Arabidopsis thaliana: one gene and its partners. The protein of the gene in region 1 interacts with the protein of each later gene in a pairwise test. Each region holds a gene or a part of one and is shown on either strand. Other genes may lie near its edges. The genes, in order: AT4G25680, SARA1A, SWAP70 and AT1G12810.

The links.
Region 2: the proteins of AT4G25680 (region 1) and SARA1A interact in a two-hybrid assay, tested with the Arabidopsis thaliana proteins (one large-scale study listed by BioGRID).
Region 3: the proteins of AT4G25680 (region 1) and SWAP70 interact in a two-hybrid assay, tested with the Arabidopsis thaliana proteins (one large-scale study listed by BioGRID).
Region 4: the proteins of AT4G25680 (region 1) and AT1G12810 interact in a two-hybrid assay, tested with the Arabidopsis thaliana proteins (one large-scale study listed by BioGRID).

Annotation. Positions count from the first base shown.
Region 1 is NC_003075.7:13,084,527-13,092,288, reverse strand, and holds AT4G25680 (PPPDE putative thiol peptidase family protein), read right to left. Parts: upstream 4,317-7,762; 5' UTR 3,865-4,316; coding exon 3,730-3,864; intron 3,132-3,729; coding exon 2,870-3,131; intron 2,781-2,869; coding exon 2,713-2,780; intron 2,631-2,712; coding exon 2,337-2,630; 3' UTR 2,128-2,336; downstream 1-2,127. Other genes in the region: AT4G25690 (stress response NST1-like protein), read left to right, coding at 1,293-1,868; AT4G25670 (stress response NST1-like protein), read left to right, coding at 6,292-6,858; AT4G25660 (PPPDE putative thiol peptidase family protein), read right to left, coding at 7,300-7,602, 7,699-7,762.
Region 2 is NC_003070.9:2,961,362-2,968,258, reverse strand, and holds SARA1A (secretion-associated RAS super family 1), read right to left. Parts: upstream 3,237-6,897; 5' UTR 3,113-3,236; coding exon 2,984-3,112; intron 2,876-2,983; coding exon 2,744-2,875; intron 2,639-2,743; coding exon 2,318-2,638; 3' UTR 2,287-2,317; downstream 1-2,286. Other genes in the region: AT1G09190 (Tetratricopeptide repeat (TPR)-like superfamily protein), read left to right, coding at 542-1,996; AT1G09176 (uncharacterized protein), read right to left, coding at 3,655-4,107; AT1G09170 (P-loop nucleoside triphosphate hydrolases superfamily protein with CH (Calponin Homology) domain-containing protein), read left to right, coding at 6,052-6,178, 6,468-6,667.
Region 3 is NC_003071.7:13,140,049-13,149,286, forward strand, and holds SWAP70 (Pleckstrin homology (PH) domain-containing protein), read right to left. Parts: upstream 6,013-9,238; 5' UTR 5,671-6,012; coding exon 5,647-5,670; intron 5,535-5,646; coding exon 5,427-5,534; intron 5,220-5,426; coding exon 5,158-5,219; intron 5,066-5,157; coding exon 4,982-5,065; intron 4,888-4,981; coding exon 4,856-4,887; intron 4,748-4,855; coding exon 4,666-4,747; intron 4,404-4,665; coding exon 4,175-4,403; intron 3,934-4,174; coding exon 3,706-3,933; intron 3,624-3,705; coding exon 3,331-3,623; coding exon of another isoform or gene 3,327-3,330; exon of another isoform or gene 3,251-3,326; coding exon 2,878-3,250; 3' UTR 2,617-2,877; downstream 1-2,616. Other genes in the region: GSTF9 (glutathione S-transferase PHI 9), read left to right, coding at 1-9; GSTF10 (glutathione S-transferase PHI 10), read left to right, coding at 1,442-1,585, 1,672-1,720, 1,890-2,344; AT2G30890 (Cytochrome b561/ferric reductase transmembrane protein family), read left to right, coding at 7,726-7,854, 8,183-8,350, 8,908-9,056.
Region 4 is NC_003070.9:4,364,301-4,371,741, forward strand, and holds AT1G12810 (proline-rich family protein), read left to right. Parts: upstream 1-2,955; 5' UTR 2,956-3,031; coding exon 3,032-3,074; intron 3,075-3,193; coding exon 3,194-3,491; exon of another isoform or gene 3,492-3,719; coding exon 3,720-3,818; exon of another isoform or gene 3,819-4,171; coding exon 4,172-4,220; 3' UTR 4,221-4,504; downstream 4,505-7,441. Other genes in the region: AT1G12800 (Nucleic acid-binding, OB-fold-like protein), read right to left, coding at 1-551, 644-889; AT1G12805 (nucleotide binding protein), read left to right, coding at 2,428-2,655; AFB3 (auxin signaling F-box 3), read right to left, coding at 4,579-5,364, 5,457-5,952, 6,029-6,480.

The DNA of each region.
Region 1 (7,762 bases):
TTCGGGTCATACACATTTCCGTCCCAATTTTTTCCGTTCCATGACCATACCCGTTATATTATTATTTGTTTGGAAAAATTAATTATTTTAACAGATACATAAAGGGGTAGGATATAAGACGACGAGGGTCTAAAATCTAAATTATTAGTTTGATTTTTTCTTTAAAAAAGTTACTTCAAAATATTAACAAATGCTCAAAAAAAATTACAAATTTAAAACCATCCGAATCACGTGAAATACATGATCTTGTATATTTGAATAGTGAAAAAATTGAGATAATAATTTTAGATAGCTGAATTAAGCTAATGGACAAGATATGGTTGCACCGGTCCAAGTGTAGTAGATAGACGTCCCAAAGAAGGAAACTGCAAGTAAAATTTGCTTCTAAGTCATTTACCACGTGGCTTGTTTTGATTGGATACAAACAACAAGTCAGCCTACGTTTCTTGAACTACTGTATGTCATGTTCTGTCTCTATAGAGTCTTCTGGATCCAGAAAGCTACGTTTCTCTTTCTCTCTTTGTATTATCCGATTAAATTTTAGAGTAGTTCTTTGAGTCAGCTGCTTCTATGCCATTTTCTAGAGGTTTGGATCCAATTTCATCATCTTGTTGATCCGTTTATCTTCAATTTCCATAGATTTTTTCTAATTGAATTGACTTCTTTCGAGAAAAGTTTTTCGAGCAGTTTCATTTGTTCATCAGATTTAATGCTTAATTATGGGTTTCTGAGGCAGATCTGGTCACTCTCGATTGATTGCTTCTAGTTTGCATCCATTGAAATGATCAGGCATTAGCTTGTTTGTTGTATCTTCTATCTTGTGTTATTGTTGACTGTTGAAATCGTTAGTTGATTTATGTTTGACCACTTTCTTTGGACTTGGTGTCTTTTTATGTTCCTTGAATAAAGTGGAATGTTTTGCAACTACAATTGTTAGCTTCTACAAGTTTGAATGCTATTGTTTTGACTGTTGCTTTAAGATTGATGTTATGCACAAGGCTTATCTGTTTCTCCTTTGCAACTACTATAAGCTAATCAAGTAATCGTCAATGCAGAAAATGGGAGAGTCTACGGGGTGTGGGAAAGGAGGACTAATGATTCCAAATCATAAGTCTGCTAATTCTTATAACCTCTCCCTTGAGTTGTCTCTTGTTGACTCTGTTTGGGATTGTAATGTTCGGACCATGAGGTATTCCTATATACCTGAGTGGTTGTAGTCTTTGAAATCCTCTTAGACAACGAGTTTAGTGCATTTTACTTTAGTTGGAATCAAAGAGTTATAGCAAGCAATAATGGATCACACGTTGTGCAAGCAAGTTGTTCAGCCAGTTACTAGGAAAGTGAAGAAGCATGGTAAAGATGAATTTGATCGTATCAAACAAGCTGAGAAGAAAAAGAGACGTTTGGAGAAAGCTCTTGCTACTTCTGCAGCCATTCGGGCTGAGCTTGAAAAGAAGAAGCAGAAGAGATTGGAAGAACAACAAAGGTTAGATGAAGAAGGAGCTGCAATTGCAGAAGCTGTCGCTCTGCACGTCCTACTGGGCGAAGATTCTGATGATTCATCTCGAGTCAAGTTTGGCGAAGAAACGGGTTTCGGAATGGATCTGTTTAGAGATGAAAGAACCAACTATGTTCCTCGCCAAAGTTGTGCTAGCTATGCGGTTCAAGGGATTGGGTTTGTGTCAAATGGTTATGGACTAGGAGATAGTAACTGGTCAGTGTCATATAAGCCATTCATGAAGGATGTCTGGGATAACAACATGGTAATATCTGCAGATTTGATTGCTGCTCAGGCTGTTTCGTCACTACAGATATCTGAGGACGCTGATAGGAACGCTTATGTCTTCGAGACGATGTTCGGGGGATGACAAAAGCCATCGTGCCAAACTTGGCTGCAGAAACAAGTGTTTGCTATGAGTAGAGTTGCAGTTTTTTTCTTTATTCTAGAACCCCTTTTGGTGTGAAAATTCCTCCTCGTTGTTTATCTTTTGATGTTAGACTAGCTGAAAAGATGTTTTCTGAATTCTCTTTGTAACATTCACAAATACGTTCTAAGTTTTATACAGATTACAGAGTACCTCTTGAATCACGTGATTATCCAAATTCAGTCACAATTTCTAGTGTATTGAGACTAATAAACCTTTTGATGTTAAGATTTGACAGTAACAAGCGAGAATGATCTTAACAAAAGCACACGTGAGCTAAAAACTCAAGAAAAAATGACAGGTTCCAACGTTGATACAGAGTAATGGGTACAGACGAGGAGAATAGTGCGTGACTCTTAGACCGGTGGATATACAGCTAACCGAATGCATTGTGGTGGATCGGTACGGTTGCTACTGAAACAGTAGAACATCAGAGTCACGGCTTTGTTTCTTCTGATTGGTGACTGCATGATTTGCATCTTCATCTTTGTTCCCTATCTCTGTACTAGTGGAGGGTTTGGCTGTGTTAAGTAAGCCTTTGAGCCAACTACCTTGCAATCTCAAGTTCCCGCTGTCTGAATTGTTGAGAGTTCCCGGTCGTTGTGGAGAGCCATTGGAGCCATTGGTTACGTTCGAAGTAACATTCGAGAGGAAGCGATAAGCCACTTTACTAGCTGACACAAGTTCAGTTTTGGCTTGCTTCATCTGCAAAATCCCAATTTACAAGTTTTGAACACCCATAATGTTGCATTTACGTTGTAGAGAAGCTAAACAAAAGGGAACCCACCCGCATTGCTGTGTTTCCTGCCACTTCCAAGGCTGTGTCCCCAGCATTAGCAAAGCGATTAACCCAACCTGTTAAGAGACAGAACCCAAGCCGTCACATAAGCCTTGAAGACAAAACACACACACACACACACCAGATTCCCAAAAAATGGCTTTACCTGGGATCTTTGGCACACCAAGCCGGTCACAGAGTACATCGCAGAAGTGATTGCAATTTTTTGACAACAAATCATAAGTGTGTCCAGGCCATTCCCTGCTGAGTTCACGCAACATCTGATTCACCATGAAGATTGTGCAATCTGTTTTGCCAAGGACGATTTTCTCACGGTATGTGTACATTGGATTCTTTCCACTCGGGCAGCTGAATACACCAGTTCCTAGTTCACAATACCCGTAAGACCATTCATCGTTTCCATATACCTGCACAAAGGTCATAAAATATTCTATTCAATCACTCTTCCCTGCGAATCAATAGTCATCTACAAGACACAAAAAAATAACAAAACCATGAACAAGAATAATCAAATGATATTGCATAGATATACAGACCTAAGAACATAGAATGATTAGCACTAACTTGAAAACCTAAATTCTGGTAGTTTTGTTGGAATACACCAAATTGTCACGACTCAAATGGGAAAGTGGTATATGCAATTATATTTGCCCAGGTCAAAGATCACAGAAGTAAACGTAAGCCATCATTGGATTTAACAAGTCTCCAGAGAGCACTTGGTCAATATATCGCAATCATTATCATATGGAAAGTTACCAAAAGTACTAGGAAACACAAGATCCTGAGCAAAAGAGAGACTTCAGCTCCAGACCTTTAGGACCATAAACCATTAAACTAAAGCCTCACATATCAAAAGAAAAGTATCATGCCGTCAACTTCTTAATTTCCACATACATACACAGAAACAAAAACCAAATCTACATAAAGTAGACCAAAACCAAGCTTAGACATCATCGATAATTGTACATAAATGTAGATTCATAGAATATAGACGAAGAGTAGTACCTGAATAGCGCTGTGGAATATACCGCCAAGACCGATCCCGTCTTTGAAGAACCTATTGATCTGAACAATGGTGTTGTTAGTCTTCTCCGATCCACTGTTCGTCACATCGTATATATGCAGAACAACCTCCGTCATTGATTCTATATTTACCAAGCAACACGAACCCTAATTTCCTACCAAAAAGAGCTCGCAGATTCTCTCTATATAGAGCTTTTGGTGAAGAAGGAAACCTAAAGACTCGTACCAAATCCACTTCTCCGTTTAACGAATCCAACAACTACTAGATCTCCCCGAAAAGAAATCTAAAGGCACAAGATTAGACTTATCTTTCTTCTTCCGATTTCTCAATTTCAGACGTAGGAGATGAAGAAGAAACTGGTGCGGCGGTGGTGGTGGTGGTGGGGATCCACTGAAATGACAATTTTACCCTCGCTTTTCCTGCGGAATTGCTACTTTACGTGTCCCTTGTTAATTCCTTTTGTTTACAACTTAAGCACGCGTTTAGATTATGAATTTATGGTAACAAATTATATTAGTATGAACGTTGTTCGCAGTTGATTAAACGGGTCAACTACTGAACCTTTTTTCTTTCATTTAACTAACATTTCTTTAGCTAGACAAGTGTCCTTACCAAAACAAATCAAAAATACTAGTAAAGCATCTCTATAACAAAATAATGACTTAAGTAATCTGACACAACCAAGGAAGATGATTCATGACTATTAAAAAATGGGGTAAACAAAAAAAAAAGAGGGTAATCAATTGACCGATTCTTCCGATAATTTTCGAAAATGCAAAACGGACACAAGTCTGGTTTTCGTTAGCCATCTGATTCGTCTCGAATTAGTCCATCCATTCATACACCAAATTTATAATTTTGCTTCTATGTAAAAAAGTCAATCATAAAAACTTAATGACTTCTTTTTTATGGTACATACATATTGGGCCAATTGGGCCTAGGCCCAGTACAACAGATGGGATTCAGGAAATAAATTAGGACCAAAGAAATTCGACCAAGTTTTTTGTTATATCAAAAGTGTATTCAAAGTCTCATTTTGGTGGATGAATCTTGAATGGGATGCTCAAAGCACAAACAAAGCTTAGTCAAGTTGATAAACTTTGAATGCAAATTAAGCTCTTATATTTTATTGTAATGTAAGGTAACATGACACTTGTACATATTCGTGAAAGGCTCAAATTTTCTTTCTTACATGATAAATATTGCAAAGTTGGAACCGGAAGTCGACAAAAAAAAAAGTTGGAACCGGAAACATCTCAAAACAGTTATCGGGGGATCTAACGGCTGCTAATAGCCCTCATTAGGACCCACAAAATACTGGGAGTAGACGAAGTCGCACCGGCCAAGTCTCCAAAGTCCCAATTGAAAACTTACACTTGAAAAAAAAGTCAGACATCATTCGACACGTGTCCCCATTTCATTAGAAGTCGCGCTGCGTTTCTTTCTCTGTACTAGTTATAATTCCTTCTATTATCCTCTCTCTCTCGTCTTCTTCGTCTGCTCTTCTTTTTTATCTCTCGAAATTCCTCTCTCTTTCTCTCTGCATCAAAACAGCAACTTTACTTCTGCGTTTTTGTTTATCTCTCTGTATTATCCGATTAATTTAAAGGAGTTCTTTGAAGGCAGCTGCTTCTATGCCATATTGCCGAGGTTTGGATCTAAATTTCATCATCATCTTTGTTTCTCCGTTTATCTTCAATTTCCCTTTATCTTTTCAATATAATTGACTTATTTCGTTAAAAGTCTTTTTGATTAGCTTCCTCGGATCTTATGCTTATTCATGGATCTTAGACCTACATAATGGATTAAATCCGATTGTTTCTCTTATTGTTCTTGTTGAATTGAGGTTAATTTTGATCTGAAAATTAGTTTCTGCGGCAGATCTGGTGTCTGTATTTGTGTAATTTGTATCCATTAGTCTTAATTGAGTTATTAGCTGAGGATTAAGAGAGATCCTGAAATTTGCCGTGGAATTAACTCTTTCTGTGGATGGATGGATACCCTTTGTATTCTTCAACTTTGCTCCTACTCTGGGAAATTAGGGTTTGAGTAATCATTAGGTTTTACTCTTTGGCTGTTGTTGACTATCTTCAATCTAATTGGTGGCTGATTTTGTTTGACTTCTTTAGGACTTTTGGTGTCTTTCGAGGTCATTAGAACAATTGTGTCTGCTTGGTTGGTGGTCTATCTACAACTGTTAGCTTTTACAAGTTTGAATGCTATTGTTTTGGCTTTCAGATTTTGATGTTATGGATTTCTGTGTTACTACTCCTCTGCAACTTGAAACTAATCAAGTAATTGTCAATGCAGAAAATGGGCGAGTCTAAGGGGTGCGGGAATGTTGGACGAATGATTTCGAAGAATAAGTCTGCGAATTCTTATAACCTCTCTCTTCAGTTGTCTCCTGTTGTTTCTTTCTGGGATTGTATTGTCCGCACCATGAGGTATTCCTATATACCAGAGTGGGTGTAGTTCTTGAGTTCCTCTACAACATCATCGAGTTTAGTGCAGTTTTTTAGTTAGAAATTTATAGTCAAGCAATAATGGATCACACGGTGTGCAAGCAAGTTCAGCCAGTCGTTAGGAAAGCGAAGAAGAAGCATGGTAAAGATGAATTTGATCGTATCAAACAAGCTGAGAAGAAAAAGAGACGTTTGGAGAAAGCTCTTGCTACTTCTGCAGCCATCCGGGCTGAGCTTGAAAAGAAGAAGCAGAAGAGATTGGAAGAACAACAAAGGTTAGATGAAGAAGGAGCTGCAATTGCAGAAGCTGTTGCTCTGCACGTCCTACTGGGCGAAGATTCTGATGATTCATCTCGAGTCAAGTTTGGTGAAGAAAAGGGTTTCACAATGGATCTGTTTAGAGATGAAAGAACTAACTACGTTCCTCGCCAAAGCTGTGCTAGCTATGCGGTTCAAGGGATTGGGTTTGTGTCAAATGGCTATGGACTAGGAGATAGTAACTGGTCGCCATTCACGAGGAGGGGTGCTTGGGATAACAACATGGGAATATCAGCTGATTTGATTGCTGCTCAGGCTGTCTCGGCGCTACAGATATCTGAAAATGCTGATGGGAACGCCTTTGTGTTCAATGGGATGTTCCGGGGATGACAGATGCCACGACTCGTCCTCATTCGGTTTTTAAAATAAACATTTGCCTTCTGCTTGCTTTGGTGTCAATGCTCTGTTTTTTTCTCTTGACGTTAGACCTTATACTCTGTTTTCGTTCGCTGTAATATTAAAGACGCATTTTGAGTTGTATCTATTATACATGTTGAAGTCTCTTCATACTGCATTGTTGCTTATCTTATATCACATTCTTTTAACAAACCCTCTAATAGGTGTGCAATGCATATGCTAAGACTTGCTTGGTCTTTGCCAGTAACGTGTTGAAAATATCTTCTTAACAAAATCACACGTTCTGCTGTGAAAAGGGGAAAAAAAAAGAGAGGTGTGTTCGAATCGTGATACAAAGTAATGGATACAAACGAATAAATTTTGGATAGGTGGATATACAGTAAGTGAATACATTGGGGTGGATCAGTACAGTTGCTACTGAAATAGTAGAACATCAGAGTCACGGTTCTGCTTTTTCTGATTGGTGATTGTATGATTTGTATCTTCCTCTTTGTTCCCTATCTCTGTACTTGTGGAGGGTTTGGCAGTGTTAAGTATACCTTTCAACCAACTACCTTGCAATCTAAAGCTCCCATTGTCTGAATTGTTGAGAGTTCCTGGCCGCTGTGGAGAGCCACTGGAGCCATTTGAACCATTGGTTATGTTTGAGGTAACATTCGAAAGGAAGCGATAAGCCACTTTACTGGCTGAAACAAGTTCAGTTTTGGCTTGCTTTACCTGCAAAAGTCACAGTTCACAAGGACTTAACATCCACATGCATTCAGGTGTAAAAAAAGAAACAGCGTGGGCAGAGCAAAATGAGAGAGAACCCACCCGCATTGCTGTGTTTCCTGCTACTTCCAAGGCTGTGTCGCCAGCATGAGCAAAACGATTCACC
Region 2 (6,897 bases), on another chromosome or scaffold:
CTAGATTTGACTCCATGTTAACTTTTCCCACTGGATGTGTGCATTTGGGTTATAAGCAGATGTTGAAACGGTTGCCTTCGAATCAAGGTCATCTACACATGACTGCAGGACCAAGTGAGTGAAGCCGGGGCGGTTGAAGCCCTTGATTCTCATCTGAAGAATGATACTATTACCATGGTAAGGAAGCAACCAATGACAATTCTAGTATCAACTATTTGCTTTGACAATTCCAAAAAAATTATATTTATTTATAGTAACTCATTCTGACTATGTAGTATATTGTTTTATACTTCTATCATAAAAAAATTGAGTTGCGACATTTTGAATCCTAGTATCAAATTTAAATACTACCACCGCAGGATAACTAGAAGTGGACTACTTGAACATAAGCAAATCCAGATGGTCGAGGGTAGCTAAATGGTACTTAACCATGTTAAATTAAACCGATATTTAACCGGTACTCTTAAACCAATAGCGTTTGAAATTGGCGCAAAACAACTATAATTGAGCGAGAGTGGTAGAGAGGAGCAGAGGAGGTTTAATGGAAATCGAGCGTAAGCTGCTGCGTCTTCTCCACGGCCACAATACTCGAACCCGTTTACCCGAAATCCACGCCCATCTTCTGCGTCACTTCCTTCATGGTTCCAATCTCCTTCTCGCCCACTTCATCTCTATCTGCGGATCCCTCAGCAACTCTGATTACGCCAACCGCGTCTTCTCTCATATCCAAAACCCTAACGTTCTGGTCTTCAACGCCATGATCAAATGCTATTCGCTTGTCGGTCCGCCTCTAGAATCTTTATCTTTCTTCTCTTCCATGAAAAGCCGGGGAATTTGGGCTGACGAGTATACTTACGCGCCTTTGCTCAAATCCTGTTCGTCTCTTTCTGATTTGCGATTTGGGAAATGCGTTCATGGTGAGCTTATAAGAACTGGGTTCCACCGTCTTGGGAAAATTAGGATTGGGGTGGTGGAGCTTTATACTTCCGGTGGGAGAATGGGTGATGCACAGAAAGTGTTCGACGAAATGTCTGAGAGAAACGTTGTCGTCTGGAATCTTATGATTCGCGGGTTCTGTGACTCCGGGGACGTTGAAAGAGGTCTTCATTTGTTCAAACAGATGAGCGAAAGAAGCATTGTGTCGTGGAATTCGATGATATCTAGCTTGTCTAAATGTGGTAGAGATCGTGAGGCTTTGGAGCTTTTCTGCGAAATGATTGATCAAGGTTTTGACCCTGATGAGGCGACTGTGGTTACAGTCTTGCCAATTTCTGCATCTCTAGGAGTGTTGGATACCGGAAAATGGATTCATTCTACCGCAGAATCCAGTGGTTTGTTTAAAGATTTCATCACCGTGGGAAACGCTTTGGTAGATTTCTACTGCAAAAGCGGCGACTTGGAGGCAGCAACGGCTATATTTAGAAAAATGCAGCGTAGAAACGTTGTTTCATGGAACACATTGATATCGGGATCAGCCGTAAACGGAAAGGGAGAATTTGGGATAGACTTGTTTGATGCTATGATAGAGGAAGGGAAAGTAGCTCCAAATGAAGCGACATTTTTGGGGGTTTTGGCATGTTGCTCATACACAGGTCAGGTGGAGAGAGGAGAGGAATTGTTTGGTTTGATGATGGAAAGATTCAAACTTGAGGCGAGAACCGAGCATTACGGTGCCATGGTAGATCTAATGAGTAGAAGTGGGAGAATCACAGAGGCGTTTAAGTTTCTAAAAAATATGCCCGTAAACGCAAATGCGGCAATGTGGGGGTCGCTGCTCAGTGCTTGTCGTAGCCACGGAGATGTAAAGCTAGCAGAAGTTGCAGCAATGGAGTTAGTGAAGATTGAGCCAGGGAATTCGGGGAATTATGTGTTGTTATCTAATTTGTATGCAGAGGAAGGGAGATGGCAAGATGTGGAGAAGGTACGAACGTTGATGAAAAAGAACCGCCTTAGAAAGTCTACTGGCCAAAGCACCATTTGCGATGTTTCAGTCTGAGAAGTAGCTGGTTTTTGTCAATAGAGGCCAGACTTATTGCTAAATACGGTAATCAAGTTCATTTGTAAGCACATTTGTATTTTTCTGGCTCGGTGAAAATGCGGCCACCAGGTTTGATTAGTTTCTAATGAATTGATTAGAACAAAAATCTGTTTTGTTCGGTTTCTTTCAACAAAGAAACACAACTACGCCAATAGTATAATGCACAAGAAGTTTGGAGTCGACTTACTACTATTAAAACTTAAAAGAAAACCAGAATAGAGAGAGTGAGATGTCTGATTCATAAAACGTGAAGCAAATCACCAATGCTGTCTTGGTTTCCTACTTGATATACTGAGATAGCCATTTAAAACCCTCGCCATAACCCATTTTGCGGACGATGCTGCACATGAAGACCTCAAGGGGACGAACACCAGAGTCTTCAAGATTCACTATGCCTTTACCGGTAGTGAAATTGGTGAGACCTAAGTAATACCTAAGCTCATCTTCTGAGGATGCATAAGGTATATCAATCTTGTTGCCAAGAATAAGACAGGGAACATTTGCTAAGGCTTCATCTGATAAAAGAGCGTCTAGCTCTCTTTTCGACTCCACAAATCTATCCCTGTCGTAAGCATCCACTAGGTAGACAACAGCATCAACCTTTATAGTTTATACACACACACAGAGAAAGATTTGATTTTGGTTCCATCATAAGCAAATCAATAAACACAAAACATGTAATCTAGTTAGGATTAGGATGTGAACCTTGGCATAGCAGTCTTTCCAAACCCTACGAGCAATCTGATGGCCACCCAAATCAAAGGCCTTGAAGTTGATTTTGCCAATGCTAAGTTCCTCAGACGTGGGATGCTGTGTTGGCTGGTGCTGAACTAATCTCTGCAACACCAAAAGCGATATTAAAGCATCTTCGATTACAAGAATCACAAAATTTCTCAGTAATACATATATTAGTTGAAGAGAGAGCGTAGAAGTAATAAAGCCTACCTCATCTTTGAGCATGTGAAGCAAAGTAGTTTTTCCGGCATTGTCGAGGCCTAAAAACAAGATTTTCGCCTCTTTTTTGCACAACCCTAACGAGGCCAAGATTCCATAGAACCAATCGAATAAAAACATGACGTCTTCTTCCTGATATCGGATTATAATCCACACAACAACCAAAAAAATCACCAGAACAGAATCGGGAGACAGAGAGAGATGAAGAACAGAACAGAAAACCAAAATCAAAGTTTCGTTTCGTTGATGAAGATATAGTTGTATGTTGTAACATTAGTGTATATATATGCAAACAAAAAAAGAAATTAAAAAACACGTGGGTAATGGGGACTGGTAAATTGATGCGGAGCCTTGTGATTGGTAGTCATCATCGTCATTCGATCAATATGAACCGTCGGATCCTAGAACTTGTCGTTGCGATGTTTTTTATTACGTTAAACTTTTTAAGATTAAAGGCTTAATACCACGTGGCAAAACCTTAATGGCCAGGACCCAGGAGAGTTTATTTCCTCCACAAGTTATTATTATGAGCCGTCTGAGGAAAGCTACCCACATTTAATTCAAACACATAGGATACATTTTTTTTATTGTTCAACAGACATGATCAAAGTGTATATACAATGGAGTATTTAACTTTGAAACAGAAATAAAATAACATGTAATTACTGTTTCAACGCATAAAGAATCAAAGTGCTTACGAAGACGAGAAATATTGTAGTTCCGGTGAGACCACGGTGTTTGAAGCAGTCACCCCCGCTTCCTACAGAATGGCCACCACCGGTACCGCCATTACCATTTCCACTGCTGCCACGGCCGCCGCTATTAGAAGATCCTCTACTGCCCCCTTTACCGCTGTTGCCGCCTCGACCACTGCTGCCACCTCCACCACCACCACGACCTCCTCCACCGCCACCACCGCTGCTTCGAAGCTCCCGCTGCCAAACCGGGAAATCTATCTTACAACACGTTTTGTTACCTAAGATGGAATTAGGTTTCAGATGGACGGCTGAGACAGAAGTATTTGTGATTGAAGCAACGGCTTGGATATGCGCATGAATCGCTAGTAACAATAGTAATACGTGAACCATACGTTTCATGAATCTGTGTATCTCCATACTAATCTTTTCTTTTATGTTTATTTATCGCTCTAACCCAAAAAGGAAAAAATGAGCTTTTGTGTAGTACGATCTCTGTTTATATTTCATCTGGTCAACGTCTAAAATCTAACTTCATTTCCTAGGAAAAAAGAAATGGATGCCACTACTAGTCTACTATAGAGCAATATTAGCGAAATATTTACGTTTATGTAAGGTGTCGAGCCTCTCATTTATCAAATTTTGAAAAATTCCTAAGGAAAGGCCAACTAACTTTTTCTTAGCTATGAACAGGCCCAACAACTTTGCTTGGGTCATAGGTCCCACGAGGAAAAAAAAGAATTTTGGATATGGCCTGGCTAAATCTATCTTTATGTATTTTTGTTATGTTCAATTTTACGATCATTACAAGCACAAACATTAACTTAAGTAGGTCTATTTACTATCTTTAATTTCTGTTTCATTTCGTTTAATTTCTGAATGAGTCTAGTTACGTTCCATTGGTTTCATTTTCCAGGCATAATCAATACACAACATTAAGTGACCAAACTAAACTAACCTATTACAATGTCTACCTCTTCTCATTCCGTTCACGACCCGCAACACGCATCACAGATCATTTTACAATAATCTACATCAGGTTACCAACTGGTGCTAAACTAATTAGTCTCAAGTTTCCAAGCATTATACGATATATAGCAACATATAACTTCGTGGTAATACGTGTCTGTTTTTTTCCCAATATCGTGTGTATTATATACACCATTAAAATATTATATCTTCACCAATTTTTGAATGAGTTGGTATCATGTACTCCATGAATGTATCACAAAGCGAAAAAAAAAGAATTAATATTATTGAAAAAAGTCTACAAGAAATTGAAGTATATAATTTTCAATGAATTGGATTATCAATAGGGTCACATTCAAAGATGTGGTTACAATCATCAAAGCAAAACTTTTTTCGTTTGTATTTCTAAATATCTTATTTCTTGTTGACTGAATTATATATATCTCGAAGGAAAACTAAAAATAAATTTTCAAGCTGACTTTTATTCAGCTGGTTATAAAACCATCGAATCATGTTTATATTGGCTTTCAAAACACCTCTACATACGCAAGAAAAAATAGTTATACAAGGTAGTTGTCCAACCAAGAGTTTCATTATAAGCCTTTATTTCTTCATAGAATTTAGAGATCCCCAGAATTTATTTTCACTTTCTAATTTATTATAAGGGAAGTAAAATAGCTCTGCATAGAATTGCACATTTCTATTGGTATATAACTAGCTACACATGCAACTTTTCAAATTTAAACATAAATTTTAATAAGACAATGGTATTACTTATTAGTACAAAGAGATACAAATTCTGTTTAGATCAACTGGGAATTGTAATCGCTAAGAATTTTTGTTAAAACATAGTACAAATTTATTTATTCCCATTATAAAACCTAGTGGATGGTTGGAAACTACATAAACGGGTTATAAATTCCGTAGCTATAGAAGTTCGTACATATTAAAATGGAGCAATTAAGAATAATAAACAGAAAATGATTTATAATATTGAAATTGTCCATCTATAGAAACCCAGGAGACTCGGGGGCCTCTGAATCATGCCTCGCTCTTCTTCTTCGTTTCCTTTTTCTGTTGTTTTAATTTCATACAAAGAACAACAAAAAAACAAAAAAAAAACAAAGAGAGGGTCAAACATTTTTTTTGTTCTCTCTCAATTTCTTTCATTATATTTTCTCTTCCTTATAAATCTGAGCAATGTTCCACATATAAGTGAATATTCTTGTATCTATCTACACAGCTTTGATTTTCTTTGTTCGGTTTTGGAAAAATCTGTTTCGAGTTAAGAATTCTAAATTTTGGTTGTGAGATTCTAGTGGTCGAGATTTGGGGTTTGAGAATTTTCCAGGTTTCTTGTTGATCAAGCTAAGAGCATTGAATCGTTTCTTGTCAATGGCGACGGAGCAACAAGATTCACAACTTTGTTTGGCGACGATTCTGGAGGATTTTCTTAAACAACGAAACATTCAAGTTAGCGTTGGTGTGGATTCTTCGAGCTTGAAAAAAGCCGATGAAACTTGTACGTTCGTCAATATTCCTCTGTTCTTTCTTTTTCTATTTGTCCTTTTGGTCCATTTTTGAGATTAGGGTTTGTAATTGATAATTGAATTAGGGAATATAGATGGATTACATAATTTTTTTAGGATGATCCATCGCATTTTTTGAATCCATATACCGCGTGAGCTTCTTGTTTCACCAATGATTTTCTGAAATTTTGTTGTTACGATCTTTATATTTGTTTACCTAGATCATCATGAAACATATTTCATATTTTTAAGTGCTTATTTTAATCATCACAATTGGTGTAGTTGGAGGAAGGGATTTGCCAGTAGATCCTTCAGACTTGAGAAGGTATGAAGCAGCAAGGTGGGTAAGGAACACACTTGGTGTAGTTGGAGGAAGAGATTTGCCAGCAGATCCTTCAGAGGAAGATTTTAGAATTGCATTAAGAAGTGGAATTTTACTCTGCAATGTCCTCAACAGAGTTAAACCTGGTGCTGTCCCAAAAGTAATGTCTCTCACCTAATTTCTCTTATGTTTTCCTCTTCTTTATTACAGAATATTTTATGCTCAACTTTTTCAAAGACTTTTTTGAAACGTTTAGGCCTGCTTGTATAAAGTTGTGCAAGCATGATTAGTACAACCATTTTGTGTAATATTTTTATAAAAGAGGTTGAGAAATTGATTCTTTTGTTGCCGATACCTTTGTTATTAGGACCGTTTGTTCTGATTGTTTCA
Region 3 (9,238 bases), on another chromosome or scaffold:
CCAGCTTAAGATGTGTTCATCTTCTTGGTGATGTGGTTTGTGTTTTATGAGAGGTTTAATAAAAGTGGAACTAAATGTACCTCTTAATGTAATGTTGCCACCTCTGTGTTCTCTTTCCTTTTGTAGTTTAATAAGTATCTTTATGGCTTTGTGAGGCTTTCAATTTTAAGGAAATGATCTTTTCCCCTAGTTCTACTACTTGAATGATTTAACTAGCTTAAGAAAATTAATTATGAATGAAAGGTCGGATTAGCGCGCGAGACGGGAGACCTAGTCGATGGAATCTATCTTATTGATTGCATATCGACTCTCAATAATGGATAGGTACTGAAGTATGAAATAATTGATGATACCTTCAAACTAGTTTGCGGTTTAGGTTGGAACATGGTCTGATAACAAAAGAACTTCCACAACTATAAAATCTAGGTTGGCTTCTTTTACTCGGCCTTTTGATTCATAACCAAAGATTCTTGGTTTTGTGACCAAGACCATTCGAATATTGGAAGAAGTGACTGATCTAGCAAGAAACACTCTACCAGTAAAACAAAGTAGAGAGAGGTACCCTAAGAATAAAATCTTGATTTTCATGAAGCTTTTTGAGAGAAGCCTCTCAGCTTATTTATGGATAATAAAGTGCATCATCAGACGATACACTGATTTTTTTTTAACATCTCTACCAAATTTGACAAAAGTGAAAGAAAAAAGGTTTATTGGTCTTTCGGGGCCAATGATGGATAGTATAAATTAAAGTATAGACACTATAATGAAAGTTGGTTTCGATAATTAGATCACTAATTTTTGTTTAAGGCATCTAATAATTGCGTTGATAAAGTAATGTTATCTGTCAGAACATAAATTACAAAAATAAGAGGGCTCATTCGATCACGTTTTATAAATACTTTCTTGTACCCACCAACCTAATTTTAATCGGCTAACTTAGGTTTTCCATTGCCTGATCATTTTTTTTTTATAACCAAAACAAAACAAAGTGTAATCAAGTCTCGTAACTATTTTATTAAAATGTGTTGATTCAAAAAAGTGAGAATCATTTTGGCATCTTATTACAACAAAGTGGGGAATATCTTTAATCAAATATACTTACAACAAGTGGTCTCTCTCTTTATTAGGCTTATTAAAAATGAATAAATAACATTGTTAAAAAACACACACATGTAATTCATAATTTGATGGGACGTTGGAAATTTCGTGCTGAGAAAAGTCAAATATGACGTGAAACGTTGCCGCCACTAGCTAGCCGCCACCTATACCGACACGTATAAATAATAATATACTAATAAGTGCGACTGCGTTTAGCCTACTACCGCAAACGCAGCTAACCAGATCCCTTTTTCTCTCTCTTTTCTTTCCCTCTATAAAATCGCGTCCTGCTATAGTGAGTTTAGAAAGAAACTGATAGTAGAAAAAAAAAGAGAGAAGAAAAATGGTGTTGACAATCTATGCTCCTTTATTCGCTTCTTCAAAGAGAGCTGTTGTGACATTGGTGGAGAAGGGAGTATCATTCGAAACTGTCAATGTCGATCTCATGAAAGGAGAACAGAGACAGCCTGAGTATCTCGCGATTCAGGTTCCGATTTTCCCTCTTTTTTACTAAATGTTTCTTTTTTTCCGGTGACTATTTCCGATCATGATCCCTTTTTCCGATCGATGCAGCCTTTCGGTAAAATCCCAGTCCTCGTCGACGGAGACTACAAAATCTTCGGTACACTTCTTCTCTTTTAAGCTACTACTACACGAGTCATGATCTGATAATGGATCTGATCATTTGCGATCATGATCAATGAATCACATGATCTTTGAGATTTTTTTGATTGTTTGGAAAAGATTGTTTAGGTAAATGAGTGTTGAAGAGATTTCGATTTGTGTTGCAGAGTCGCGTGCGATCATGAGGTATATAGCAGAGAAGTATAGATCACAAGGACCTGATCTTTTGGGGAAGACTATTGAAGAGAGAGGACAAGTAGAGCAATGGTTAGACGTTGAGGCTACAAGTTACCATCCACCACTATTGGCTTTAACGCTCAACATTGTCTTTGCACCACTTATGGGTTTCCCTGCTGATGAGAAAGTTATTAAGGAGAGTGAAGAGAAGCTTGCAGAAGTGCTTGATGTCTATGAAGCTCAGCTTTCTAAGAACGAATACTTGGCTGGTGATTTTGTGAGTCTAGCTGATTTGGCTCACCTTCCTTTCACCGAGTATCTTGTTGGTCCTATTGGGAAGGCTCATTTGATCAAAGATAGGAAGCATGTTAGCGCTTGGTGGGATAAGATTAGTAGCCGTGCTGCGTGGAAGGAGGTTTCCGCTAAGTACTCACTACCTGTTTAAACAAGGAGATGTTGACTTGGGGGGTTTGTGTGAGCTTTGTGTTCTTTGAGGGAGTTCGTTTTCGGGTCGATTGTCTTGTTGTTTCAATAAGAAACGGAACTCTGTCTCATTTGTTGTCTCTGGTTTCTTGTATTCTGTAACTTTTCAAGCTTTTCAATAAGAGTTTAAAATCAGAGTGACTCAACCCATGTATATTCCTCTATTCAGTGTAGGTCTTTGATAAAACTGGTACTAACATCACAACCATCGTGGTTTGTTGAAGGATTGCATTTATATGAAAACTGGTTTATATGAATCCAAAAACATAAGTCAAAGTTTAACACATATCTCTCTGTTCTTCATGTTGTAATAAAAGGGAAAAAGAATCATTCCCTAGTCAGACAAATTCAAGAGCGGCAGATACATAACAACTCTTGAATGTACAAGAAAACTAAAAAGACAAATTCTTTTTGTTGTTAGAAGAATCAACTCTCCAAACATTACCAGACCATCAAAGAGTATATTAAAATGTACGAAGATCTACCAATCTTTATTCAAGGCTGGTGATGAAATGATTCGGAAGGCGGATCATTGCGTGGAACGTTAGGTTCAGGAGACACTACCGGGATATCCAAGCTGTTTCTTCTGTCCCGTTCAGTCTCTGCAGATATTTCTCTTACATCAGAAACTCTTGCCTCTGTTGCCTGAATATCATTCCATTCGTTTTCTCCCACCGGAGGCTGAGCGTTTACTACCTGCTCTTCACTCATATGGACTACATTCTCTCCCGGTATAGAGGCTGTTCTTGAAATGCTCAGACATGCTTTATCCACATTCTTTTCTGTTTCCTTTGTCATTGGAAGAGAAGCTTCGCCGTTAGTAGACTCAGTCTTCTCCTCACACACTTGCTTTGTCTCTAGTTGCTGCCTGTTTATTCAAAAATAAAGAGATTTATGACCCTTCAAAAGTCATGAGTTTCCCTGGGAGATAGATTCAGATAGGCTCACCTTTGAAGCTGAGTTTGTAACATATTCACATATGCTAAAAGCTCTTGCTTCTCTGTCCAAGCAGTTGCTTCTCTCTGAGAAGCCTCTTTTGATTTTGCTTCACCGCTTGCTTCTGCAACCCTCACTTTCTCTTCGGCCCTCACAACAGCTCCTTCAAGTATGACAACACGCTCTCTGGCTTTCCCAAGCTCAGACCGCCACATATGTGCCTCTTGGAGAGCAGCGTCTCTTTCCTTAACCAATTGATCTTTTTCCTTACTCAAAGTAAAGGTCTTCTCTTCCAATTCCTTGAGCTACATAGGAGATAAAGATCAAATAAACAACAAAACATACACAAGGATGCAAAAGTATCTATATATGACATGGCCTCATTACCTTTAATTTTGTGGCTTCTTGCTGTCTCTGTGAGTCTGTAGTCAAGCGCTCAAATTCCACACAAACGATTTTCCTTTGTTCATCCATTGTATGAGCAGCAGATGCTGCAGCTACAGCTGCTTCAGCAGTCTCAGATAGCTTATCTGCTATTTCCTTTATCATTGAGTCACGAGAACGAAGTTCCCTGGCTAAATTATGTAATTCTTCATCTTTGACACGCAGAGTTTCCTGTAAGATGTAAGTGGCTCAATAAGGTTAACCTGGACATTAGAATGAAGATGGACGAATAAGATTTATGCTAATTCTGTTAATTTTCATCCTTGACAAGCAGAGTTTCCTGTAAGGTGTCCCTATATGCTTTCATCGTTCATCTTGACATTTCAGAATCTCAACAGCCAAAGGATGTCAATATGCTATTCACAAAAGTTTCCCAAATTCGAAGAGAAAGAGAGATGCAAAGATACCACACCTTCATTATTGTCAAATCATCTAGTGGTCCATCAATCGGTTTATTTGGCGTTATTTTCAATGCATTCCTCAAAGAGATCTGCATTGCTGCTTGAATTTCTCTGGAACATTCCAATGCTGTTGAATTGGCAGCGGCAACAACGGTTGCAACGGTACCAAGTGTTGCAGAACCACTTCCACTTAGAGATTCGACAGCCTCCTTATGGGCCTTTAGAACTAGCTGTGTCGCACTGGAACGAACAAAGAAAGATAAGGTTTATCAGATTGGCTTTTGAGGGGCATTTAGAAGGTATTACATTTTCAGTAAGAAACGTAAAAAGAGAGAGAAAGATGATTCTTTCAACATGGTCGACGACGAAACCATTAAATCAACACAACTATGAATTATTTAAGATAGATGAAATAAGCGGGGTGGCTTCTCTAGAGAATGGTAAGTAAATAAAAAGGACAGAAAGAGAAGCAAACAAAAAGATGAAGATCCAGATGACTTACTGTAAGGTTGTGACCCAAGCTTTAGCTGCACCAGGAGTCTCTGCACACAAAAAGTAATCTTTCTTCTGTGGGGTACCAATATCTTATATCAAGTTGAAGAAAATTCAACTCTAGATTCCAATCAACTATCTCCTTATAGACAAAAGAAACAATTATAAATATGCCAACATTTTACTAAAACCAAGGATACAAATACAGCAACCATTATATTTTGGAAGCCCCCTGAAACACAAAAGAAACAAAGTCAATGATACAAACAGACACCAAATAATGATGATTATACAGAGCAACAAAAAAAAGAATGTAGCATCCATACTGGAAGTTGACAGGAGAGATGGAGATTGTGCTATTTTCGTCAAACAAAATTGTTCCCTTGATAGTTGGCTCATTTCGCCTCGTCCTGAGTCATGGAAATACATCAGAAATGAATAAAACCATGATGAAGTGGTCTACACACAAATGCAGCTACATAAGCAAATTGATATAACTCACTTATACTCCATTTTCCCTGTTGTTGGATCAAGTATCACCCATCGTTCGTTCCATTTTCTCAGCTATTCATACATAAACACAAACAAAAGATATTATCATTGTGAACCTTTGAATAAGCCAAGACATTTCAGGCCAAAAGACTTGTTTAAGCTATAGAAATCTAATAGTGAGCTATCAGAGAGTCTTCTTAGTTTGAGCTAACTAAGAAATCCCAATCAATAAAGCAAAAACTGGTTTTGATCATTTTCACTTAAAAAAATTGGACTTACAGTTTCAGATCGCTTGAAAAGAGGTCCTTGTAGCAAGTTCCGACCAGAGCCAGATGCCAATTGTCGCTTGATCTTATCCAAGCTGTTCTCAGTAGCATCAACAATTCTCTGCGCATTTTCAGAAATTGACAAAATGGGTCAATTTAAGAGTGTGAATGAGAAAAGCAGCCAAAAGAAAGAGACTAAATTGTAGCACACAGAGATCAAGAGAGAAAAAGACCGGAGAAGCGCCGTTGGAAGCCATGTTAATTGGGATCGACGAGATCGGAAAGCTCTTGATCGATTAGAAGTGAATTGTTGCTGATCGATGGATCGAGAGAAGAAGGGTTTTAAGAGGTTTTCTTTGGTATAGCTATGAGTATAAGCTGAAGAAGACGAGGTTACAGAAGAAGAAGAAGAAGAAGAAGGAATTGGAGAAAAATGCTGTTAGGTTTGGTTTCGCGGAATTGCAGTTGAATCTGTCTTCACTCTTTCAACGCGATCAAATCAACTTAACCGGTCGGTACGATACTGGATCAGCTTACTCGTCAAATGAACCGGTTCTTGAGTTTCTCACTTTTTGTTTGTTCACTTCATTTTTATGGTTTTTGATCTGACGGTGGAGGTGTCATCACATGATTCTTTTGTTTTGTTTTTGGTTATGAGGATGATTAAGTAGATCTGTAGAAGGTAGGCTTTGTTAAGGGAGAAGCTTTACATAAACGATGGGCTAAGGAACATCAATGGGCCGGGCTGTAACAAGCCAATCGTTTAGGAGAGAGCAGAGTTCTTACTTTGCCCAACTAATCTCAAATGTGTGCAAGATTGTGAAATATTGCGTACTAGCTTCGACGCTTGGTAGTGGTGACTTAGACACTTAGTTCACAGGGACTTCAAACATAGATGCGTTAGACACAGCTTTACACTTTCTCTTAATCTTCAAGATTTTCAATGTACTACAACTTCCCTAATGGTCGTAATGAAACATGATATAAGTACATAACATAATATTCAATAATATATGAGATTTGAGTAATCATATGTGATATGATGATACTCTTTCCTTAATAGCTAGGCGCTGATAACTACATAGGAGGAGGAAACACAACAACTTGTTGGGGATACAGAAATGGATTGAAAAGCATCAAAGCAAAAGAGTAGTAGACATGTAAGCCAAGACAATATTCAATTTTGGGGTTAACTGAAGTGGGAAAGCTGCAAAACGTGAAGTGGTCCTCTTGCTTTATTCTACGTATGTAGATTCCTTTTGTATGAATTTTCTCATTTGTTTTTCACTTCTATGGCATTCTCATCAACCCAACCATGCATATATTTCCTAAATGAAACGTCTAAGAAGCTATCAAAATCCATATTTTTTTGGCTCCTTTATATTCAATCTCCAAAATAAGAAGAAACTTCTACTATATAATATACTACAGAATTTGGACACCTTTTGACATTTATAAGTTTGACCATTTATCTAAAATTTGGTATGTTCTTATGATTAGTGTTTGAAAATAAGAAAATATATATCCATGTGATGTGGTCATTCATGTATACCTTCCATAGTGAAATCATGATGTTTGTTGACAGTAACATATTGTTAGTGGTCTATGAGCTAGTGCAACCTGCCATGACTCACTTTCCCTTGCAAAATCTGACATTCTTCCACAAAACATAAAAGTCCATTAAAATTCTACTTTTGGATGAATCTGACCTTAAGGAATTTTCAGTTTCAGTTTCTTCTTTTTTTTTTCATAGAAAACCAAAAGTGCTGTAGAGTCGCAGAGATAGTGACATCCACTTGAATATTCTTCTGTTTTTTCTTACATTCATTAATTAAATTCAATACTCAAATTATATATATATAGTCCTTTTTAGATATAAAACATCATTATTAACATCTAATTAAGATTGACAAAAATGAAGTTCGTTATATCAAATCGATTGCCCATTCCTCCACTTGCTTTTCTTCATTTAAATTCAGAGATACTAGTAAAATAAACCATCAACCTCCATGCAAAACCATATTATATAACAAAGTTGCGAGCTTAACTTTTTTTTTTTTTCTTTTTATCACATTTCTTTACACTCTAAAAGCAAATTCTAAAACTTTTCTTTTCTTTTCTCTTCTTCTATCTATAGCTAAGAAACTAGTGGATCAAGTATTCAAGTTCCATATATACCGTCATCCAATTCTTTACAAAGAGCTAGATACACACAAACTTTAACAGTTATACTTATGAAATGAACTCATGAATTGATTATCATCAATTCTAAACTTTGTATTTATTGTTTCAACTTCAAACCACATGAAGTCATGGAGATTCATCATCAACTCTTAGTCTCTCTCCTCTTCCTCCTCCTTCCCCTATGCTCCTCCCAAGAAAACACCAGAAGCTTGGCCATTGATGTCAATGGTCCAGTCGAAACTTCTCCTATCTCCGAGGTTCGTATGCTCTTCTTTCTCTCTCGCTTATCCTAATTAAAATCTAATAATCTCAAACTCTTCATAATCTCATTGATATAGCTGATAAATCTTTACAATGAAGCTCCAGGCATTTCCTTTGTTTCTGATCTTATAACCTATTGAGTTTATTTATCATCGCATGATTATAATGTATGTAAGTCATGTACATATTATTATTCCATGATGCTTAAAGGTTATAGTTTTTTTTTCCTACTCTCTGTATAAAATGCCTGCGTGTTAATAACTTTAATCAAAAACTCTGAATATATATTGGTATGAAGCTCTTATTTTTATTTTTCTTGAACAGAAACTAAATCCAAAGCTTGTGTACGAAATCAAAGTGCATGGCTTTATGCTTTGGGCAGCGATGGGTGTTTTGATGCCAATTGGTATAATCTCCATCAGATTAATGTCTATCAAAGACCAACCTATAATCACTCTTCGACGACTCTTCTTTCTTCATGTCACTTCTCAGGCATGTTTCATTTTTCTTGGCTCTCTTATTTAAATTATATATATCAAATATATATTACAATTCAACAAACTAAATCATAAGTATGTTGAAAGTATTGTATAAGTTGAAAATGAAATTTAATGGTCGGTGCGAGAAGATAGGTGGATGGAGAGTAAAGCAAAGATGCTTCTCTCTTCATCTAAACAATAAAGATTGCATCCAATTAACAACTTTTTCGTGATTTTTAATTAGTACTCCATTAGTAATTAGTAGGGCCTTTTAGGTTATTCTAGATTGTTAATCACATTGATAATCATGGAAACTTGAAGGCCAAGCTAAAGCATCTATCTTCTTCCTCTTTATTTTTAGCTTTAACGACTTTCTGACTTTCTCTTTCTCTCATTCTGATACTTAACTAAGAAACCTCACCTACTAGCTAGTCAATTTTGTTACAAAACAATATTTGATAATTAAACAGCAGCAAGTACTTTTAACTATTGTTATCTATCAACAAGCGGCTCATAGTTTACTTGGAATATTAAGTGAGCAATTAACAATGTGATTAATTTATGAAGCAGATGGTTGCAGTGATACTTGTGACAATAGGGGCAGTAATGTCAGTAATAAACTTCAACAATTCCTTCAGTAATCATCACCAACAGCTTGGAATTGGACTTTACGTCATTGTATGGTTCCAAGCTCTTCTTGGCTTCCTCCGACCTCCAAGGTACTTCTGTTTCTTTTCTCTTCAATAAAATAAGCTGTTACACCGATAATTCTTTGTGACAAAATTAAGCTAGCTTAAGATTAATAACACTCATTATTTTGTTCTTGAATATTTCTAAGAAAAATCTTGAATGCAAATTAGTTAGACTTAATCAAATGTTATGATGACGAGAACTACGAAAT
Region 4 (7,441 bases), on another chromosome or scaffold:
GCTTCTGGCTTCTCCAAAAGAGTATACTGTGAATATGTTCCACCTTCCTGTTCTCCTTCCTCCATAGTTAAATCATCAGAAAGAGGCTTGTCTTCCTCTTCTGCAACTACGCTCACTGGTTCCGGTTTTCTCAACAATGTCATATCACTAAACCTCTCATTTTCCCTCTCATTTCTCATTTTCAATGTCAGATTCGGTTTCAACCGCAACTTAGACTCCTCATCATCACCATTACTAGTATAAAACGAACTCGGCTTTCTCAATATAACATTAGGCAATCTCTGCACCTTTGGAGCAGCAACAGCCTCCACCAATGGCTTCTTCAAAACAGGGCTTGGCTTCTTCATCACTGGCCTTTCGAACTTGACTCCATCTTTCAGAACAGGCTTTACCAATTTCAATCCATCCAGTGAACTAGTAGATTTCTTCTTGTTATCCTTTGACCAATCCAATGGAATCTCTTCAACTTCAGGAATTTTACCTTTGTTCTTGTAGAAAGATTTCTCAATGTCAATAAAAGAAGCTTCTGGATCCACTTTTCTAGCTACTATCTGTATAAATTTCACCATTAACATCATCAGCACAACAGAGAGAAATCGAAATACATAAAATTCAAAGAACCGTTTTTTACGAAATCTCTCACCTTAGCCAAAGTCAATTTCGGGTCTTCGCCGAGTAAACGGCCAAAGTTGAGCTCCATTTGATCCCATTCGTTGAGCTTAGGCTCTTCTCTTTTCGAAGCAGAAACTAAAAACTTCTTCTGTTTAGCTAACAAATTCTCTCGGTTTCTTCTCACTCTAACCCTAGAAGGAAACGACAGGAATTTTCCGGCGAGAGAAGCGGAGGGTGCGGCGGCGGAAGCGGAAGAGGATAAGGCGAGAACGTCCATTTTCCGATTAAGCCGAAAGATGATAATTTATACGAATGAGAATCATGGGTCCAATCAAAATCACGACTTTATTTTATCTCGAGTGAGACTGTTGCTTGAGCTCTGTCTCTTACTCTCCCCCTATGTGAACTACAGAGAGGAAGAAATGGCTATGGCGGAGGAAGGAGCTTTATCAGTTTAGCTCAATATTTCGCTTCCTGGTTGAACCAGTAAGGTGAAGACACGTGGTTGATGAAGGAGCAACTACAAAAAAAAGATTGCATTTTAACGTCTTGCCGTTGTTTCGTTTTAGAGATGAACTACACGTCGTTTTTTGAAATTTGCTTTAACGTCAAATCTTTTCATACACGCGTAAGATTGGGCTATCATGGGCCTAAAATTGGCCCAATAGAAGGATGGGAAAGAAACTCAAAGAAGAAAACTCTACCAAATAATCCATGTTTTTTTATGTATGCAGAAGTTTATTATATCTGTATATATAGATAAACACTGATATATCTAAATATCTAATGCACTGAGGCTATTTCATTGTTTCAGTTTACTTAACATTGTTATTTATTTTGATATCGATTAGGGTTTGGATTTTGTGGGTTCGTCATAAAAGGGACTAGAGTTTTTTTTTATTGAAAAAGGAAACGGACTAGCTAGAGTTATAGTTTTGCATATCGGCTCTACCTAAAGTTTTAAATAAGTTGAATTCACGCATGCATCAAATAACTCGTGCACTTTAACGAACATTAATTGGTTAATCCACTGATTGTCAAATATCGACTATGAATTAGTCCATTTTATTCTTCTCGTTCCATACAATAAATCGATGTTAGTACAGTGGCAAAAGTGTAGTTTAGCAAGGACGAACACATGTGAGACGAGAAAAGGGACAAAGAGCTGAAAGTATAAATAGGCGTTACGTTCTATAGCGGTTTTCATGCTGAGAACATCATACAATTGTCGTTCGATATAATCTGTGGCTTGCATAGTTTACGGCTCCTCGTTTGGATTTTTGAGGAATTTATATAATTATAAATAATGACTATTTGTATTTTCACATACTTCAGTAGATAGATTCTCGAATCTCGAGATTACCAATATCATGCACATCATCATATGATGCATACACGTGATGTAATAAAGTTATTTTAATATGTATTCAGCCAAAAGTTGCACCAAAAAGAGAATCCATCGAATCCACGAAAACTAGGTTCTACTAATTAGTTATCTATTAAATTATTTCACAAAACTAATAACCATATAGCATTCAACACGAGTACACATCTATAACGGGGGGAAAAAAACTTTTATGGAAAACATTTAAAATAAATATGTATAAGTTAGTTAATATATGTGCCAAAACATGGAACCTAACGCCCACAGTTTTTCCCCATCTATAAAATATATGTACTTTCAGCCTTTCACTTCAATTCCCTAGCTCAACAAACAACAAACTATGAATCAAAACATATATCTCTTTATTTCATAATCATTTCCATAAATTACACCCTCAAAGGTTTTCCACTTCTTAAATCCCTTTTTATCAAATGGATGTCTTTATATCGGAAGAGTATATCAACCGCCGGAGATTGGAGAAAAAAGCTGCCACCGTTGCCGGAAAAAGCATGAGGTTTGGCTCAGCTTCAAGCAAGACACCAGAGAAGAGAAATAGTTACCCTCGGATATCGGAATCTCCGCCAGATAATGAGTTCCGGGTCACTGGCGGGGGTGTTTATGATAGCTTTGCCTTTGTGTTCCACTGCTTCTCGCCGTAAAAAAAACAAAGCGTTTGTGTTTAGCGATCAAAATGCATGCGCAATAGTATATGCATGGGAACTTTATTAGTTGTAGCTCTCGTTTTTCTAACATTTACTTGAAAAAATAATTCTTCTTAACACTGTTTTTCTGAATGATGGATAGAATTTCATGTTTACCAAATAAGTGGATAGGCCCAATAGCAAACAAACGAATAAATAAAAATTATTATCGGCCCAAATCCAATAAGAACGTGAGCAACATGATTTTAGTGACACGTGAATTTACTTAAATGAAAAGAAAAGCCTGGCACTTAAAATATATTTATATTTTCCAATAATCTCAAAAAAAAACTCTCTGATTCGAAAAGTGAAATTTGATTTTGACAAAAAAAAAATGAGCTACGACAGAGTCCCACCGGAATCGTATCCTCCTCCAGGTTCGTTCGTAATCACTTCTCCTTCTTATGATTCTCTTCTCTTCGATTCTAAATTCTGATTCTCTTATTTTGATCTATTCTAAAAGTACTAAGATCCTGTTTTTGATCGGACGAATTAGGATACCAATCTCACTATCCACCTCCGGGTTATCCATCAGCACCGCCACCGCCGGGATATCCTTCTCCTCCGTCGCATCACGAAGGATATCCTCCACCTCAGCCTTACGGAGGATATCCACCACCGTCTTCACGTCCTTACGAAGGCGGTTATCAAGGCTACTTCGCCGGAGGAGGTTATCCTCATCAGCATCACGGACCACCACCTCCTCCTCCGCCGCAAAATTACGACCACTGCCATCATGATCATCACCATTACCAAGATTCTGACTCTGGTTGCTTCTCTTTCATCCGTGGCTGGTTCGTTTCTTTCTCTACCACTTGCCGCCTTTTAATTTTCGTTTACTTTCATTGTTGTGAGTGCACTGATTCGATTCTCTGTGTTTTTTTTGGTCAATCTTGTTAGCTTTTATGTTGGATCACTGATTAATGCTCAGGGTTCATTGAACTAGTGTTTTGGTTTATGGAATTTGGGAATACTATGATCCTGATCAGAACCAGATTCCTTTGAGTTGATTTATGGATAAGCCATAATGTGAAACTCAAGAGTTCCGTTGTGAACCCTGACTTGACTTCTTTATCATTTTGTTTGGTGGCCAATTATCGAAATTTTAGAGCAAGAGATTCGTATTAATCCTTAGATTTAGTTCTCTGAGTGCTTTGCTGATCTTCTAAGGAAGGTTCTTGTCTTTTTATGATGAGTTTAGAGCTATCCATGTATAGACACATTTTTATGTTTATCTGTTGGACAGGATCTTTTACTTTTCAATGGATCTAGTGACTCTCTTAAGAACTACCTAATGGCTTTTATTTTACATTCTTAACCCCATAATATTTAGTATAAAGTTTGTAGATAAAATGTTATATCATCTGCAGCTTTTCTTTTAGTAAGAGATTTGTGATTGACCTCAAGTAGCCTAATCATGTTGCTTACAAATTGCGATTACGGAATCCTTTTTTTTGTGGGTTGCGAATTGCAGTCTTGCTGCTCTTTGCTGTTGCTGTTTGTTGGAGGAATGCTGCTTCTGAGAATGCCGCCAGTCTCTGTGGATCTCGTCGTTTACTGTCAGCATTATGTGTCTAATCGAAGACATATGCCATAACACTCTATGTCTTGTGTACTATCGTGTGTCAATGTCTGTTAATGTTTACCTCTTTGTTTGAGAGTGCACTCATCCAGAGCATGGATTAGACAAGTAGGTTTCTTGTGGATGTCATTGTAATTTGTATTATTTGGAAAACGTGATTGGTATTTTACCTAAATTTATGTTTTCAATGGCTGAATTACGGTGATAATAAAATGCGACATTTGTATTTGTTCCAAGTTTGATAAAAGGCAAAAACTAGTACAAAGAAAAGTTTGAAAACACATGAAGGTGCAAAGAGACTAAAGAATCCTAACATATGGTGGTGCATCTTTTCTAGTCCCAACCACTGTTCGGTAGAGGTAAAGTTTATCAACCTTCTCTCTTTCATCTTCTTCATTCTGTTCCATCCCATTATTCTCATTCTCGTTGATGATCTCTACGTTAAGCCGTGGCGAATTCTGCGCGAGCCTCTTGCAGCCACCGAGTGTTACTTCACAAGACGACATCCAAAGGGATCGCATTGTTTCGTACCTACCCACGTCAGCAAGAAGCGCAGCGTTCCCAAAAGGACTGTCCCTTATCTCCAGCTTCCTCATTTTTTTGCATCCATTCAACACATAGAGCATTCCTTTGTCAGTGTCCCCCGCAAAAGCTATCGAAAGCATCTCGAGCTGTTCCGCGTACATACCGATGTAGAGAAAGACTTGATCGGTTAAGAGACCGGAGACAGAGAGCCGTCTTAGACCCTTGCAAGCTTGTACGATTGCACCAAAGCCCTCGTCCAGTGATTGAAATGTAATGTGGTCAGGTTTGTGTGGCTCGAGAATGCATAGCCTGAACCGGATGAAGTTTGGACAGTTTTTGGCCACGGCTATGAGCGCTGCGTTTGTCATCTGTTTGCAGAAGTACAGAATCGAATGAAGTTTAGGGCAACCTGCGGAAATGGCGACTAGTCCAACCTCAGTCACAGATGCGTTGTTATCTTCTTCACCATGTACATCAGAGGGAAAAACTCTAAGCTCTTGTAACTCTTTACATGTGGCAGCGACAACCGCAAGTCCTTTGTCACCAATACTATCCAATATCTGTAGGAACCATAAAAACCATTTGTTGTCAGGTTAGCAAGTTAGTTTATTTTCTTCAGGACAGTGAAAAGAGAAAGTGAGAACAAACTTACCCATAATCGTTGAAGTCTCTTGCAAAGCTGAATAAGCTTAATGAGGTGGTTGCCTTGGATTTCAGCTGCATAGCTGAGGTTCAAAGAGATAAGGTTTTGGCAAATTGGGTAGAACGCTGGGAGGCAGAGTGGAGCAACCTCTAAAAAGCCAGACAAGCTCCTTAACGATGTGTATTTCTTAATGGCAGTCATGAGTTTTGCAAAAGATTCAGGATCTGGCTCATTCTCATAAGACCCTACTCCTAAGTCCACTAGCTGCGGCGCACAACTCATTAACCTTGCGAGTGCGTCAAGCGGTACTGCACGGTTTAACTTCAAGCTCTTCAGGTTTGGTGACCTAGCAACAAGCCTTTCTAAAGCAGCAACATTGGTCTCTCCTTTAAGGCAAGCGAAATTCAACGACATAAGAGTAGTGCAGCTATCTGGAAAACAGTTCAGCCATTGACCTCTATGATCATCAATCTCATTCTCTTGCAAGTCCAGCTCACGAAGATGCCTAATAAGAAAGACAACAACACATTTTAAAAACAACATAAAACCTAGAGAAACGCCAGTAAAAGAAAGGCCTTTACCTGCAATTAGCGGCAATGGAAGCTAAGCCATCAGTGGTAAACCCTTCACAGCTAACAAGAACCAAAGACTTGAAATTTGCAAAAGAACGTGAAAGAAGGTCCAAGCTTTCATCTGTTACAACCATCCGCTTCAACCTCAGCTCCTCAAGTCCCACACGGCTTCTAGCCAAAGCTTCAATCCAAGGATGCACGAAACCTCCCCATTCATGAGGAACCAAGTTGAAGTCTGCAAAATGAGGCTTCCCTTTTAAAGTTAAGGATTTGAGACATGGAAACCTCCTGATCAACCTCTCCGGGTTAATCGCGTAGCAGTTTCCGATGAACACTTCCTTCCTACTAAACCTCTCGATCTTGTGCCATGATTTGCAGACCAGAGATATCGAGTTCCTGTCTTTGTGAGAAGCTACGAAGTCAAACACGTGCTCTATAACCTCGTCTGGGAAATAATTCATCTTCCTCTATTGATTGTCGAACAGAGGAATTGACTTCAAGCTTAGCTCAGTGAAGAAAGCTTCGTGGTCCAGTGAGATCCACAACACTACCAGGTTCGAAATCGGAGGCTCACAAAATGGAGAAGCTTAGAAGAGCTCAAGAAAATCCACCGAAACCTGAAGAATCTGCAACAAAGCGAGATTCAAATTATACAAACTAATTTAGAAACAACAGATCCTGAAACTCGATAAACTAAACACAGAGATTAAGATTCAGATCTACAAGAAAGTAAATGAGCTAGATCTAGAAAGAGTTTCGAGACCTTGAGCTTATGAAGCTACTAAGATCGTCGTCGGAACCAAACTCGCTGATGATTCGATTGAAGAAAAACGTTGGAAAATGATGAATCTGGATAAAACTCTGGAGTTAGCTTCAAGTCCAATGATGATGAGATGATCAAAGATTTGGATGAGTGAGAGAGAGAAGAGAAGAGAGAGATCACGCAAGCCAAAAAAAACCAGAAACTCTGTAATGGAACAATTTAATCAAGAGGAGAGAAGCTTTAACCTAGCTGACCAAAAAACTAACCATGGTTAAGTTAAAGCTTGTTGGGTGTTGGATGATCCAACGGAGGAGAATGGTTCAATGGATAGCATAAAAAGGAATCTTGACCGTTGAGGAGTGGTATGGTTAATTGGTTATGGCATGTGTTGCTCACCACTGGTTTACGAGACCTTTCGCCAAAGAGAAAGGGTGAAGTGATGCATTAGTGTCAGAGCAAGGGACATGTACAATGCCCTTGTCTTTTTATGTTATTACTAAATTGCCATGTAAAAGCTTTCATGGCCAATAGGAAAATATAATATGTTCCATACTGAATTAATTTATTATTGGTTTTAATCGTTTTTGATTACGTATAATCAATCTTTCACGGTTGTTAGAAAGTGCAACAATGTGAAAAGTATTCGTGAAAATGATATT